Arabidopsis thaliana: one gene and its partner. The protein of the gene in region 1 interacts with the protein of each later gene in a pairwise test. Each region holds a gene or a part of one and is shown on either strand. Other genes may lie near its edges.

Region 1 (7,609 bases):
TTTTCTTTCTTCCTGATTAAAAGACAAAACGCAAAGAGAACAAAAAAAAAACTTGTTATTTGTTAACTAGATTTAGGATCATTTTGGAACAAAAAAAATTAGAAAGCAAAGGTTTATTTATTGGTTACCTGAAAGACAAACAAGGGTTGATCATCTTTGGGCAAACTCTGAAGCTGACTTGTAACCAATTGAGCAAAAGCTGGATTTGGATAAACCAAATCTCCAAGTTCCTCCAACGTGTAGTCACTCGCCGCCGTCACAAAGCCAGCTCCAGCACCGTTACAGTCAACATCAAGCCGTCCAGAGCTAGGATCCACGCGGAGTCTCCCGGCCAAGAACTCATAAGCGTCCATGAGTTTCACCAACGCCTTTCTCAGCTTCTCCGAGACCATCTCCGGTGGAAACTCCTTGTTAGGTCGGAAGAAATGAACTGTTTGAACGTCAAAGTTGAGAATTTGGTCGACGTTGGATAAGAACATGGATTTTCTCTCGCTGGTTTCTTCAGATGGGAAAATGAGTGTTGATTCTTTGATCGTAACCTTAAGATCTTCAAGAAGCAACGGTGGAGATTCTTGGTACGAAGAACCCATTTTGCAACCCTTCTCTCTCTCTCTTTCTCTCTAAGTTAATTAGGTTTTGAGTGAAGTTTGTGATTTGGGTTTCAGACTTAATCTATATTATATAGACTAACACGTAGTAAAAGGCGTTTTTAATTTTATCTTGGCTTTATGATAATGTACGTGTACATTATAGTATGAAATAATCCATGGAGAGTAAATTATTGATCCCATAATAAATGTGACTTTTTAATAAAAAAAGATATGGTACGGATCGTTACAAGAACAAACAAAGCAGTTTCGTGCTACGTAGACGTCGTTTTTATCCAGTCACATGAAAACGTTATTCTTTAAAAGCTAAAATTGTCACTGTTGTATTATTGTGTTGTGTTTATAGATTTGGGAAGAATGATGGGCTGCATTGGTGGGTGTGAGTAGGGTTGGTGATTTATGTTTTTTAAAATTTGATAGGAGAACTTTGATATGTCGGTGTAGCTACATAATATGCATGTGATATATCAACCTTTTTGTTGTGATATTTGCCAAACTTTGACTTCTCCATTTGTGGTTTATGGAATAATACGATTTTTACCCATTTGCAGTATCTCATTACGGTTACAAACTTACAATCTACAATTAGTCTAGTTTCTAACCTTTTTCTTGCCATATTAAAAGGCATGAACTCAAAATATGGCCGAATCCAAGCCCGGCCCGTTCATAAAAAAGCCGAAACATTTGTTTTAGGCCACCTAATATAAAAAGTTTTTAGGGCCTCATGTGTAAAATTTGTCCTACAATATAATTTGTCTAGTGTTATATTTATTTTTATATATGTCCAAATGTTTATATTATTATCAACTTGTTATTTAATTTTAAATATATCAATTATAAGATTTAAAACTTTTTCACAGTTTAAAATTTTATATTTTTGATAAAATTAAATTGTTTAACTAAAAATTAAATTAATCTATAGACAAACTTTTAAATTTGAATCCGATTTAGATTTATTTTAATTTTATTTATCATATAAATTTAAATAATTGTTTAAACATTTTAGCCGATGTAACGTTTTTTTATTAATTATTAATGTATGTCTATTTTCTTATATTTCGAATTATCGAATTAAATATTCTCCACTCTAATTATAAGATAAGTTGAATAAACTTTGTTTTGTTTTTAGTCTCGACTTTTTTTTCTTTACATTTCTTCAAAAAGTATAATAATTTTTAAAAACATTATTAAAAAAAAAATATTTCTAAAACGCAGAGAAAAAATTGAGGCAAATCTGTCAGTATAAACTTGTAATTTCATCGTCTCCGTCTTCTTCTTCGTTTATCAGTTCTTCGTCGCCTTTCGCTTATGAAAAATTCACACTGGTAAAGCTTCTTCCTTTACCAAACCCATTTCTCTTCTCTAGCTCCTTCTGGGTTCTCTTTTCGAAGAACCCTAGTAATCGCGAGAACCTTCTTCCCCCTTTCTCTTCGCAAAATCAGAAATCATAATCACAATCTCTTCGTTTTTTTTTGCAGTTTGCAGGGCTAATTTCTGCGTTATCGTACTTCTAATTTGTTGAGATAAACATGGCGAGGAACGCAATCTCTGACGATGAAGGTACCTTAATCGCTTCGTCGCAAACCCTAATTTTTTTCTGTGTGAAACGCCGTAATAATACTAGGGTTTTGTTTATTTCTTCTGATTTGTATGAAAAAATTGAATCCTTTTCTCTTTTGCGTAGAGGATCATGAGCTTGAGGATGACGACGGAGAGCCAGTTCATGGAGATCCAGCTGAGCATGATGAAAACGATGATGAAGAAGATGATGATGACGGTATAAGTTTTTTCCTTGATTTTGACTTCTCCCAGTGAGAAATGTGTCGTCTTTCGTTTCTTTTTGCTTACCACCCTAAATCTGGAAGCTGTAGAGTCTGATTGCATCGAAGGAAATTAGTGGTATGGTTTGGTTTAGTACTGAAGCGCATGCAGTTCTTTGTCTTAAAATCGATTCATTTGGAGAAATTCTGCTGCATTTGCTCCATTAGAAGATGCAGTGTCTGGATTTGGCAACCAAAAAAAAAAAAAAAGTGAATGCATCTTGTTTCTTAGATGTTTACTTATCTGCTGCAAAGTCTCTCCTTCTACCACTTCTTGTTTCTATATTCTCTGTTTCATACGGTTGCTTGATTTGTTCCTTTTTAGACTTCATGGTTTCTGCAAGTTTTGAGCTGCACACATTTCTCTCACCTTGGGTTTGAGTATTTTTTTTTCTTTTTCTTTCTAGGCTTTTTAACTTAGATTCAGGCTATTTTTGTTCCATGATGTGGGATCCGTATATCTGTTTTGTAGTTGGGAATGAGTATGAGAATGATGGGTTCATAGTGAATGATGAAGACGAAGAGGAAGAAGAGGAAGAAGACGAAGAAAGGAAAGATAGCGATGAGGAGAGGCAGAAAAAGAAGAAGAAACGAAAGAAAAAGTGAATATTTTATATCCTTACTCATTCTCTTAGATTTTATCCTTTTCTAACATATGAAAAACTAAATGTTAGTGTTGACATGCATGATACTTTTGAAGAAATGTTCCCTTAATTCTCAGCAGTCTTTATTTGTGATTTTCATACATTGTTTGTGATGAGTATGTAAGTTACCATTAGACGAACTATAGCAGGTCTGTTCTCTTTCTGACTAACCTTCCATTTATGATAATTTTAATAGGGACGAAGGTCTTGATGAAGATGATTATTTGCTTCTACAAGATAACAACGTCAAATTCAAAAAGGTTAGTCATATTTGTGTATATAACAATACATCAGGATTTTGTAGATACACTAAAAATATATGTGCAGTACTAATACATTTGACTTTTTTCTTGAACCATGACAGAGGCAGTATAAGCGGTTGAAGAAAGCTCAAAGGGAACAGGGAAATGGCCAGGGAGAATCATCCGATGATGAGTTTGATAGTAGAGGTGGAACTAGGAGAAGTGCTGAGGATAAGATCAAAGACAGGCTGTTTGATGATGTTGATGTTGATGGTAGGTTCTCTGTGCCTTCTGATACTATTATGTTGACTGTTGGCACATAGTTGACTATGTACATTTTGTGTCTACTAGATCCACCTGATGATGTAGGTGATGAGGAAGACTTAGTTGTGGAAGAAGATGTAGTTGGGAGCGAGGATGAAATGGCAGATTTTATTGTAGATGAAGATGATGAGCATGGTCCTCCTAAGAGGTATTTTTTTTCTGTCTTTTTTGTGCCCTAACATATCACTTATGTCATGTACATTTTCTGATTCTAATCAACTTACTTTTCAGGGGCAACTCGAAGAAAAAGAAATATAGGCAGGGATCAGATATTACTGCTATGCGAGATGCTAATGAAATATTTGGTGATGTTGACGAATTATTAACAATTCGCAAAAAGGGTTTGGCATCTAATCAAAGGATGGAAAGAAGGCTCGAAGATGAGTTTGAACCAACTGTTCTTTCTGAGAAATATATGACAGGGAATGATGATGAAATCCGCCAGCTTGATATTCCTGAGAGAATGCAGGTGCATTATCTTCTTTAGTTTTCTCTATGTATACTTGTGGTCTATGTTTTCTTTGGTGTTCAAGGATAGATGTAAAGATATCTTGTAAACTTTGACAGATATCTGAAGAAAGCACCGGAAGCCCTCCTGTAGATGAAATTAGCATTGAAGAAGAAAGCAATTGGATATATGCTCAACTTGCTTCCCAACTTAGAGAATCTGATGGAACTTTTGATGGGCGGGGTTTCTCGGTTAATAAGGATGACATCGCAAAATTTTTGGAGCTACATCATGTGCAGAAATTAGAGGTTTTGGATTCATTCTCTCGTTGGATTTTCTTTGATTCATTGATTAGCTTGCTAATGTTTTCTGTCTCTTCTAGATACCGTTTATAGCTATGTACCGAAAGGAGCAATGCCGGAGCTTGTTGGACACTGGTGATTTTGATGGCGCCAATCAAGGCAAGAAACCTGAGACCAAGTGGCATAAGGTAAGCAATTATCTTGGATAAACAACAAGTGCTCAGGTTAACATTTATTGTCAGAGGAAATTTGGTGGATTCTATACTATTTTCCAATGCAGGTCTTCTGGATGATTCATGACTTGGATAAGAAGTGGCTCCTTCTTCGAAAAAGGAAAATGGCGTTGCATGGTTACTATACAAAACGTTACGAAGAAGAGTCTAGGAGGGTCTATGATGAAACAAGACTTAATCTAAATCAGTATCTTTTTGAATCAGTCATTAAGTCTCTTAAAGTTGCAGAAACAGAAAGAGAAGTTGATGATGTAGATTCCAAGTTCAACTTGCATTTTCCTCCCGGTGAAATTGGTGTTGATGAAGGGCAGTATAAGAGGCCGAAAAGGAAATCACAATATAGCATCTGCAGTAAAGCAGGGCTCTGGGAGGTTGCAAACAAATTTGGGTATAGTGCTGAGCAACTGGGACTTGCATTGTCCCTAGAAAAACTGGTCGGTATGCTTTTATATTGTTTGATTTGCATGTTGTACTGGAATGGCAGTTCTGACGCTAAATGAGTTGCAGGTTGATGAGCTTGAGGATGCAAAGGAAACACCAGAGGAGATGGCTAAAAACTTTGTGTGCGCAATGTTTGAAAATTCTCTGGCAGTTCTGAAAGGTGCACGGCATATGGTATATACTCTGCAATAATACTATTTTTTGAATTGCTTAGCTGGGTTTAATATCAGAAGGACTTCCCTAATCACTAATGCGGAGATATCCCATTTTTCCTTGTTAGGCTGCAGTTGAGATAAGTTGCGAGCCATCAGTCAAAAAGTATGTCCGTGGCATTTATATGGAGAATGCAGTGGTCTCAACAAGTCCAACAGCAGATGGAAATACAGTAATTGATTCGTTCCATCAGTTTTCTGGGATTAAGTGGTTGCGTGAAAAGCCATTGAGCAAGTTTGAGGGTGCACAATGGCTTCTCATTCAGAAGGGAGAAGAGGAGAAACTTCTTCAAGTAACCTTCAAGCTGCCTGAGAATTACATGAATAGGCTAATTAGCGACTGCAATGAACACTATCTAAGTGTTGGTGTTAGTAAGTATGCTCAACTCTGGAATGAGCAAAGAAAGTTGATATTGGAGGATGCACTTCATGCTTTTCTTTTGCCATCAATGGAGAAAGAAGCAAGATCCTTGCTAACTAGCAGAGCGAAGAGTCGGTTGCTTTCAGAGTATGGACAGGCTTTGTGGAACAAGGTGTCTGCAGGGCCATACCAAAAGAAAGAAATGGACATTAATTTAGATGAGGAAGCTGCACCGAGGGTCATGGCATGTTGTTGGGGACCTGGGAAGCCACCAAATACATTTGTGATGCTGGACTCATCAGGTGAGGTGCTTGACGTGCTTTATGCTGGATCCCTTACATCGCGATCTCAAAATGTTAACGACCAGCAACGTAAAAAGAGTGACCAGGATCGTGTTTTAAAGTTTATGATGGACCACCAACCGCATGTTGTGGCTTTAGGAGCTGTCAATTTGTCTTGTACTCGTCTGAAGGATGATATTTATGAGGTAAGACTTCATATACCATAATGACACTATGTTCGTTGACTTATGCTATTGCAATGTACATGTTCCGAGTTTGATCTTGAGATAAAGGACCTATATCCATATGGTTCTGGATAACTGTGGTCACTGGTTTACTTAATTAGTTCCTCAGTGCCTACTTTGTAGAGACCTGGATTTTGTGTGTTTTTCATCAATACTTTCAAACTCGCTATACCTTTTTAGACTTCAACTGCTTTACCGAAAATGATAATGTTATATATCTGATGAAATAAGCTTAAGTTTCTGCTTTTATATCACTTTGTGAAAACTTAATCGCTGTGTTTCAATTTTCATAACTACTCCTCTTGAATAGTAAAATTTTGTTATGCTTTATTCTATATATCAGGTCATATTCCAGATGGTGGAGGAAAAACCTAGAGATGTCGGACATGGGATGGATGATTTAAGCATTGTTTATGTGGATGAATCACTTCCTAGGCTATATGAAAATTCTCGAATCTCGGGTGAACAGCTACCTCAGCAGTCAGGGAACGTGAGACGTGCAGTTGCTCTTGGACGCTATCTCCAGAATCCACTAGCAATGGTGGCAACTTTATGCGGTCCAGGTCGGGAAATTTTGTCTTGGAAGCTTCATCCCTTGGAGAATTTTCTTCAGCTAGATGAGAAGTATGGAATGGTTGAGCAGGTTATGGTTGACATTACAAACCAGGTTGGAATCGATATTAACTTGGCAGCTAGCCATGATTGGTTCTTTTCTCCTTTACAGTTCATTTCTGGACTTGGGCCTCGGAAAGCTGCATCCTTGCAGAGGTCGCTTGTAAGAGCTGGTTCAATCTTTGTCCGCAAGGACCTGATAATGCATGGACTTGGTAAAAAGGTTTTTGTAAATGCTGCCGGTTTCTTGCGCATCCGCAGAAGTGGGCTGGCTGCTAGTAGCAGTCAATTTATTGACTTATTGGATGACACCAGAATCCATCCAGAGTCGTATAGTCTTGCTCAAGAATTGGCGAAAGATATATATGATGAGGATGTCAGAGGTGATTCAAATGATGATGAGGATGCGATAGAAATGGCTATTGAGCATGTGAGAGATCGGCCAGCTTCTTTGAGAAAAGTTGTCCTTGATGAATATCTTGCCAGCAAGAAACGGGAGAATAAGAAGGAAACTTATAGCAATATCATAAGAGAATTAAGTTGTGGTTTCCAGGATTGGCGGATACCATTTAAAGAGCCAAGTCCAGATGAAGAATTTTACATGATTTCAGGTGAAACTGAGGACACCATAGCGGAGGGCAGAATTGTCCAGGCCAGTGTTCGGAGATTGCAGAATGGAAGAGCCATATGTGTATTAGATTCTGGGTTAACTGGGATGCTTATGAAGGAAGATTTCTCAGATGATGGGAGAGATATTGTTGACTTGGCGGACCAGCTGAAAGAAGGCGATATCCTCACATGCAAGATCAAATCGATTCAAAAGCAGAGGTATCAAG
Region 2 (8,357 bases), about 13 Mb from region 1:
ATCTAGTTGCAAACTATGGAACGTTCTTTCCAAGAACCGGATTTTATGTAAAACAGAAGCTAGAAATCAGTTTTTAGGGTTCACGATAATGAATCATAGGCTTTATTCCATGAGATTCAATCTCCATGGAATCGGCCTCAATGAAAACAGTGAAGAGTTCATTGATCCATCTATAAAGCCAATAGGTAATTTACTTAATCAAGTCGAGATATCTAAAGTGTTTTATTGCGAAGGTTTATTGTTATGCGTCACAAGGAACCACTCAAGCAAGCTCGTAGTTTGGAACCCGTATTTGGGAGAAATTCGTTGGATCAAAACTAGGAATGATTACCACATAGGCGTTACATATGCTCTCGGGTACGACAACAACAAGAACCACATGATCTTGAGGTTTTTTTCTGAACAAGGCTACTACGAGATTTACGACATGAACTCTTCTGACTCATGGGATTGTTTTTATGGCATTCCCAACAAGGGGTTAAAATGTTATCAGCCCGGCGCGTCGTTAAATGGAAATGCTTATTTTTTGACTGAGGGAAGAGAAGTAATGGAAGGGTATGATTGCTTACTCGGTTTTGATTTTACAACAAAGAAATTTGGACCACTTCTTTCTTTGTCGTTTTCGCATGATTTTATAGAGACTGGGAGACTATCTTGTGTTAAAGGAGAGAAACTTGCGGTCTTATATCAGCGCTGCTATACCTATGAGATGGAGGTATGGGTGACAACTAAGATAGAGCCGAATGCGGTGTCATGGAGCAAATTCTTAGCAGTTGAAATGGAACCACTCACTAGTCTAAAGTTTAACGATGATTCTGGCAGTTTCTTCATTGACGAAGAGAAGAAAATCGTCGTGGTTTTTGATATAGACGAATCTGAACGCAACAATACGGCTTACATCATTGGAGATTATGGATGCTTGAAAGAAGTTGATCTTGATGAAGTTGTGAACCCACAAGAATCTGTGGAGGTCGGAGACCGCATTTATTCTTTTTCACCATTTGTGTGCTCTTGCTCTTATGTTCCAAGTTTAGTGAAATTTAAAGAAGATGCAGAACATGAAAGGAAAGATAAGAAGAGGAAGAGTAAGAGGAAGCGAACCAACAAGGTGTATCTCTACTAGTTGAAGGAAAGAAGAAGACTAATTGATGATTTCATTTTCATGCGTTTTTTTTTTTTTTGGTTTTGTAATGTCCTTTGAACAAGATTAGTCGATTATTATTTTGTTTCTGAGTCAGAACCATGTGATAAAAAACTACTCGTACGAGAAAGTTCTTCTCCACTTGAACTAACTTCTTCTATCCCCTCCCCCACCAAAGATAAATGTCTCAAAAACGCATCGTTACAGGCGCTTGGATATGTTAAGAGTTCTTGTAGATAAAAAAACAATAGTTACTCTTTCCCATGGTGATAAAAATTTATAGGATGGATATGATTTTATACTGTGTTTTGATTTTACAACCGAGAGATTTGGACAGATTCTTCCTCTGCCGTTTAAACATTCTTTTAGGGATACTTGGACTCTATCTTCTGTTAAAGAAGAGAAACTTGCAGTCGCAGTGTTATACTGGAAAAATACATGTGTGATGATAGAGATATGGATGACAATTAAGATTGATCCTAATGTCGAGTCGTGGAGCAAATTCTTAAGAGTTGATAGGAAACCATGCATTGATCTTCGCTTTGATGATCGTAATGACAGTTTTTTCATTGACGAAGAGAAGAAAGTTGTCGTGTTTTTTAGTTCAGACAAAGTTAAAACCTCTACGGCTTACGTCATTGGAGATAATAGATATTTGAGAACAGTGGATCTTGAAAAAGCTGCAAACTCCCAAGAATCTGTGGAGGTCGGAGAACGCGTGTATTGTTTTTCGCCGCTTGTGTGCTCTTGCTCTTATTATGTTCCAAGTTTGGTGAAAATCAACCACAATGCAGGACGCAAAAGGAAAGAGAAGAAGACGAAGCGCAAAAGTAAAGACAAGCAGATGAAACTAAGCAACAAGGTGTAACACTAGCAATGCTTATATCTTTCTTGCATTTCATTTTGATTTTTTTTTCTTCTTTTCTTTTGCAATGTTCTCTAAACAAAACTAGTCAATATTCGATCTTTATTTTGTTTCTGTTTAGTTCTCTTAATATAGGAACCTGGATTTTGCTTTCCACAATGCTATGTATTAATTAGTTCCAACACTTGGTATAGAGACAACGACCATGACTGTTTCTCGAATAGGGGCTTAAACCGTTCAAGATAATTATATGACGGAAGGTTCCTAGATATGTTAGAATCATGACGAGTACGAGGACTTTGAACACTTGTATAATGTAGATGAATGAGTCAATAGAGAGACAAAATATGCGGGATTCAAAATGTTTTTTTTTTTATAAATCCTCGGTCCATGTATACAGAGCAACATCCTCAAATATATGTTGTAATGCACCAATTTAAGACGTTAAGCTAATGCAATCAAGATTCATACTTGAATTCAAATTCGTTAACATCAATCTTAGGCACCAAGCCCTCTTATGCTTTAGAAAGCATATATGCCATTCAAAGTTTGATATCGATTTAACCATTTTTGATGTATAGATTATAAACATCCCCAAACCATCAATATTTATTTGTAGTCGGTTCAAACGACAAGTAAAAGTTAGTCACAACTCACAACTCCTCTCACAAGTAATTGATCTAATGTTTTGTCTCTTTTGACTAGAGACAGTTGACTTTGTTAACACGAAGTCAATAGTCAATACTAATTAATTGCTGTTACTCAGAGAATTGATGACGTGGCGAGATCTAAACTGTTAAAATAATTCTTCAATCGTGACCGTCGAATATTCCATAGTAGCCCGATCCCAAATTCTTCCTTCCCTTCCCTTCCCTCCTCTTCGCCTCTCACAACAACTCGAAGATCAAAGAATTCGTAAATTATCTCTTTCGAATCATTTTCTGGAAGCTGAGAAGAAATGGGTTTCGAGGATGATCCGTAAATTCTAATCCTTTCTCTTCGATTTCATATTTTTAGCTTCGTTGTGCAGATAAAAATCCCACCTTTGATTGAATCTAGGGTTACCAAAATCGATCTCTTTTCAATTTCCCAAATTTCGATTTCGTTTTTGTGAAAAGAGAGTGTTTTGATTCATGGGCAGATTCAATCTCCTATTGATTTGAATCCTTTGTGTTTCAGATTCATAAGATTTTGTATTTTTTTTTTCCAGGTACCGTGATGTAGATGGAGAGCCAATAGTGGACTTTGATGATTTTGGGAATGATCGCGAGCCATCTACAGAGCCACTTCAGGATTTTGATGAAGATCTGGCTGATGATATTGGAGATTGGGATGGTGAAGGATCACAAACGCCTGTTTATGATAATGATAAAGTAGCTAAACCAAGGAAGAGATTGGTGAAGAAATCTTCTAGTGAACGTGTGACTATTGATGTTCCGGAATTGATTGATGAGGATGTGGATGATGCTGAGTTTGATGAGTTTATGGGAGGAAGAGGTGGTGGTAGTACTGATTATGATGATAAGGTTGGTAGGAAGAGGAAGAAGGAGAAAGAGAGAAGTAGTAGTGGTAGTGGGAAGGAGAAGAGGCATAAGTTTCCGAATCGTGGCGAAAGGAAGTCAGAAGAGATTGATGAGATGTGGAAATCTATTGCTCATAACCCAGAGGTGCAGTAGATTGACTATAGTTATAAGATTGCCTGAGAGAGAATTTTGTTTTTTCGACTTATAAAAGTGTTTCGTTTCTGTTGTAGAATGATGAAGAAGGTGTTAGGACTATGGATGATGATAATTTCATTGACGATACTGGTTTGGATCCTTCTGAGAGGTATGGAGGTGACGCTGGAGACCGTTCTCCAACTCATTATCCTCAGGTATGAGTAGTGTATCTTCAATTTTGATCTTTGAGTCTAGCTTTTGTTTGTTGATACAAAATGCTTTTGTTATGAATAAACAGGCAGAAGAGGGTGAGGATGAAGATGAGGTAAATAACCTTTTCAAAATGGGGAAGAAAAAGAAAAAGACTGAAAGAAATCCTGCGGAAATTGCGCTTTTGGTTGAGAATGTGATGGCTGAGCTTGAGGTTACTGCTGAGGAAGATGCAGAACTTAATAGACAGGGGAAGCCTGCTATCAACAAGCTTAAGAAACTTTCGCTTCTTACCGATGTACTTGGAAAGTAAGTTGCTAACTTACTGTTATCTTATACTGTTTCTTTCTAACAATCTGTTTTGTAATACGTTTATTTTTCGTTATCCAGGAAGCAGCTTCAAACAGAATTCCTGGACCATGGAGTTTTAACCCTGTTGAAGAATTGGCTTGAGCCTCTTCCAGATGGAAGCTTGCCAAATATAAACATCCGTGCAGCTATTCTAAGAGTTCTTACTGATGTATGCTCTTGTTTTCCTGTTGAGGGTTTTTCCGTGATTTTGAGCCTTTTTAGCTGCTTTACCAATTACTGAGTCTGTCTTGCAGTTTCCGATTGACTTGGACCAGTATGATAGAAGGGAGCAATTGAAAAAGAGTGGGCTTGGAAAGGTTAGGATACATTACCTGATTCAAATTGACAAGAATCGGTATGTAGGATTTATACTCAGGAACTTAAATTTGTTCTGGCTTTGGCAGGTCATTATGTTCTTATCAAAGTCCGACGAGGAAACTAATTCCAACAGACGACTTGCTAAGGATTTGGTTGATAAATGGGTAATCATCTTTTTCAAGAGCTCCAATCCCTCGAATCAAATTCCAGCCAGTTACTTACTGTATACTTGATGATGCAGTCTCGTCCAATTTTCAACAAGAGTACTAGGTTTGAGGACATGAGAAATCTCGATGAAGATAGGGTTCCCTATAGAAGACCACCAGTGAAGAAGTATTTCCCGAAACCTTTATTTTTTTTATTTTACTCGCTTTCACATTTCATATACTGATTCATAGCTTCTCTTCTTGTTCTACTGGGGATAGACCTAGCAACAAAGCGACAATGGAGTCCAGAGATGGTGACTTTGACTTGGAAATTCGGTATGGAAAAAATCTTCCAAATTTGTAGATATATGAACTTCTAAAAGTTATGTTTTAACATTACTCATTGTTTGTTGAAAAATATGCAGGGAACGTAAAACTGGTCTGACTTCGGGTCAGAGTTCAAGGGGAGACAGGCAAATGACGATGAGGCCGGAAGCAACCCCATTGGACTTTTTGATCCGTCCTCAATCCAAGATTGATCCAGATGAGATCATAGCCCGTGCAAAACAGGTTTCTCAGGACCAGCGTCGGGTCAAGGTAAAAAGACTTCTACCGTTTATCTTTTTTTCACTGACAAACAAAACACCATCTAAGTACTGATTTGGTATGGTAAATACAAGTGAAATCCTTTTCAAGAAAGCCTTGTACTGGCTCAAAATCTGAGACCTTTTTGTGACAGTATATAAACAAAAACCCTTTGTTGCTCTTTCTTTTCTCTAATAGTCCTTGAGCTGGTTCTTTTGTGTTATAACTGCAGATGAACAAGAAACTTCAGCAGCTAAAAGGAACAAAGAAGAAGCGGCTACAAGCTACGAAAGTGAGCGTTGAAGGTCGGGGTATGATCAAGTACCTCTAGAGAGGTTACAACCAGACCATACCATCCATCCACATTGAAATTGGTTCCTTCTATCGTGTTAATCTTCCAACTTTGCTTGGATCAGTGTTTAAAGGTCTTTCAGGTGAAGTCGAAGACTTAAAGGCATTGGGGTTATACGTATATGTACTCTTCTATATATGCTTTGCTTTGAGCCTCTAATGTAATGGGAAGTGAAAACACTTTGTTCGTCACTTCTTTCTTCAGAGCATAAAATATTATGATAATCAATTTTCAGTGAGTTTTCAATAAACACTTTGTCCTCTTTCTTTGAGATTCATCTTTCTGCTATATTGTTTGTTAGAAAATAAAGCAATGACACTAAATAACTCAAAATTGGCTCGTTATTTGCAGACACAAAGACTACTTTTATGTGTGTTTCACAAGTTTTGGTTGCTTGAAACGGAAACGCCTCCAAATGCAGATGAAGAAAAAAAGACTATTACTTTATTTCTTTCTGAAATTCAGAAACAAAGAAGAAGAGGAAAACAAAATCCTAATTTCTACTTACTAAATCTCTCATCTACTTACTCCAAATCTTGAAGCTGCAAAAACATATGAACCCACAACGCAAACAAGAACAGCAAGAACCAATGAAAAGAGCTGAAAATTAGCCAGAAACTCTCCTGAGACTTCTGAATCAACTGATCTGCAAACTACAGAGTTTTGTTTTAAACTGCAGCCTTGAGGCATCATAGGGCCATACAGAGTGAAAGCTGTCTGATAAAACCAGAGGCCTTGAAGAGTCATTGCAATGCCATTGCATAGATCTACTGGGAAGCTTGTAGGGCAGATTGCTCCAGCGATTGAGGAGATGACGCAGAGACCGATGAGAAAGACGAGGAGGAGATGGTAATAACCTTCAAGACCTTTGTGGCTTGTGGAGTGGAAGAAGAAGAGAAGACACTCTGCCGTAAAAGCTGTTGCAGCGATTAGACACAGAGCTTCTTGTGGCAGAGGAAGTAACCTAAGACAAAAAATAAAGCATCATGATGAATAAATTGATTCATATATATTCGTCTACATCAATTTCTATGGTTGTTTTATTAACAATCAAGTCAAGAATCACTAGTAAACCACTTTTGAGTTCAATACCACCAAAGATCCGACCTAACTTCAGAGCTAAATACCAAAGTTGATGTATCTATCTATAGTCAAATCATATATTATCAACGATCTAGATCTAACAACCATAGTCTAGAATAATGAATATTTAGGATCAAAATTCACCCAAGATCCAACCTAACTTTAAAGTTATATACCAATCTTGACGATTGATTTATTGATAATCTTATTATCAATGATCAAGATCCATTTCTAGGATAGTTTTCATTGAAAACCAAGTCAAGAATCATTAGTTAATTATTTTTGAGTTCTCAAAATCACCAAGGATCCAACCTAACTTCAAAGAAAAATACCAATCTTGATGAATCTATCAATAACTGAATCATATTATCAACGATCTAGATCCATTTCTAGGATAGTTTTCATCAAAAACCAAGTCAAGAATCACTTTAAACAACTTTTGATTTCTCAACTCACCAAAGATCCAACCCATAACTATCATTGCCATAAATGGTATCATTAAACAGAACATTTTTAATACCTTGTTTTCTCGGAGAGCAAAGCGATAAATCCGAGGATGAAGAACATGAGAAGCATCCCAGAGTGCTCAAAGTCATTCATATGGGAAGGATTCAAAACACCATTAACAAAGAACTTGAGATGAGTTGAATACAAGAACTCAATGCACAAGTCAATGAACGAGCCAATAGTAACAACGTAAAGCTCCAAGTACTTGATCCTATCATTGAAACCAGGAACAGGATGCCAAACTCTAACCCGAAATGAACTAGGATTCGATATGTATCTAACAACTGAGCTCCAAATGTGCCATACTCCAACTACCAAGAACAATGTACCAGGCAAAGCATGACCCTTGAAAGAACCCATCTTTCTTACAATTCCTGATCAAGATAGAACATTCACTATCAAGAGAAAGCTACAGATTCCAAACCCATAATCCAAAGAGAGGAGTATATATATATACCCTGTAAGGAAATTGCAGATCAGATTCTTCTTTTGTCGATTTCGATCAAAAGATAAACCCAACTTCTCAGAAAAGTCAAGAGTCGTCGATGAAAACGAGAGAGAACAAACAAATTTGGTCAACGTTTGAAAGCTATAGAGGAGTAGCTAGAAACTTCACTCAAAAACAAAATTGGTTTTTTCAAGGGGAAAACGTGACGAAACTGAGAACAGAACAAAACCCAGATAACAAAAATAGAAACTTTGGATCAGAAGAACATAAAAATCTAGACTTTACCCCAGAAAGAAATAATTTGGATCAACCTCAACAAAACAAAATTCTTAAAGAGGGTTAAAAATGAAACCTTTAAGGAGAAAAGGAGAGCAATAATAGGTCAATGATACAAGGAAGATTAATAAATTCATCATCTCCACACATGTCACATGGGAGAGCATTTGAGAGAATCTGATCTTCTCATCAAGAATTTTTTATTATTTGTCATTAGCTCATTATTATGTAAACTAATCACTCTCTATTTCTTTCTATCATAAAACAAAATCTGAAATTATAAATGCCACGTGTTTAATACAATATAACTCTGAACTCTCTCAAGTCTCTTCACCTTCACACATTTTGACGAAGAACACTGTTTTATCTTTCTGATAGCTAACGCTTTGGATCCTTGTGTGGATCTACTCCACCTTT

The links. Proteins that work in one complex are often made in the same cells at the same time.
Region 2: the proteins of GTB1 (region 1) and IWS1 interact in a two-hybrid assay, tested with the Arabidopsis thaliana proteins (one study listed by BioGRID).

The regions. Positions count from the first base shown.
Region 1 is NC_003070.9:24,308,856-24,316,464, reverse strand, and holds the start of GTB1 (global transcription factor group B1), read left to right. Parts: upstream 1-1,825; 5' UTR 1,826-1,933; exon of another isoform or gene 1,934-2,006; intron 2,007-2,086; 5' UTR 2,087-2,137; coding exon 2,138-2,168; intron 2,169-2,292; coding exon 2,293-2,385; intron 2,386-2,596; coding exon of another isoform or gene 2,597-2,638; intron 2,639-2,900; coding exon 2,901-3,030; intron 3,031-3,268; coding exon 3,269-3,332; intron 3,333-3,436; coding exon 3,437-3,587; intron 3,588-3,665; coding exon 3,666-3,786; intron 3,787-3,869; coding exon 3,870-4,107; intron 4,108-4,205; coding exon 4,206-4,394; intron 4,395-4,468; coding exon 4,469-4,576; intron 4,577-4,668; coding exon 4,669-5,055; intron 5,056-5,128; coding exon 5,129-5,236; intron 5,237-5,342; coding exon 5,343-6,122; intron 6,123-6,504; coding exon 6,505-7,609. Other genes in the region: GLC (HXXXD-type acyl-transferase family protein), read right to left, coding at 129-590. UniProt on the Arabidopsis thaliana protein: Transcription elongation factor that enhances the transcription elongation by RNA polymerase II (RNAPII).
Region 2 is NC_003070.9:11,556,394-11,564,750, reverse strand, and holds IWS1 (Transcription elongation factor (TFIIS) family protein), read left to right. Parts: upstream 1-2,851; 5' UTR 2,852-2,964; coding exon 2,965-2,984; intron 2,985-3,216; coding exon 3,217-3,673; intron 3,674-3,759; coding exon 3,760-3,879; intron 3,880-3,962; coding exon 3,963-4,183; intron 4,184-4,264; coding exon 4,265-4,394; intron 4,395-4,479; coding exon 4,480-4,542; intron 4,543-4,629; coding exon 4,630-4,707; intron 4,708-4,784; coding exon 4,785-4,876; intron 4,877-4,968; coding exon 4,969-5,025; intron 5,026-5,114; coding exon 5,115-5,286; intron 5,287-5,506; coding exon 5,507-5,605; 3' UTR 5,606-5,996; downstream 5,997-8,357. Other genes in the region: AT1G32140 (F-box family protein), read left to right, coding at 1-1,108, 1,425-2,009; AT1G32127 (plant viral-response family protein), read right to left, coding at 6,143-6,590, 7,230-7,576. UniProt on the Arabidopsis thaliana protein: Transcription factor involved in RNA polymerase II (RNAPII) transcription regulation. Involved in transcription elongation. May function at post-recruitment and elongation steps of transcription.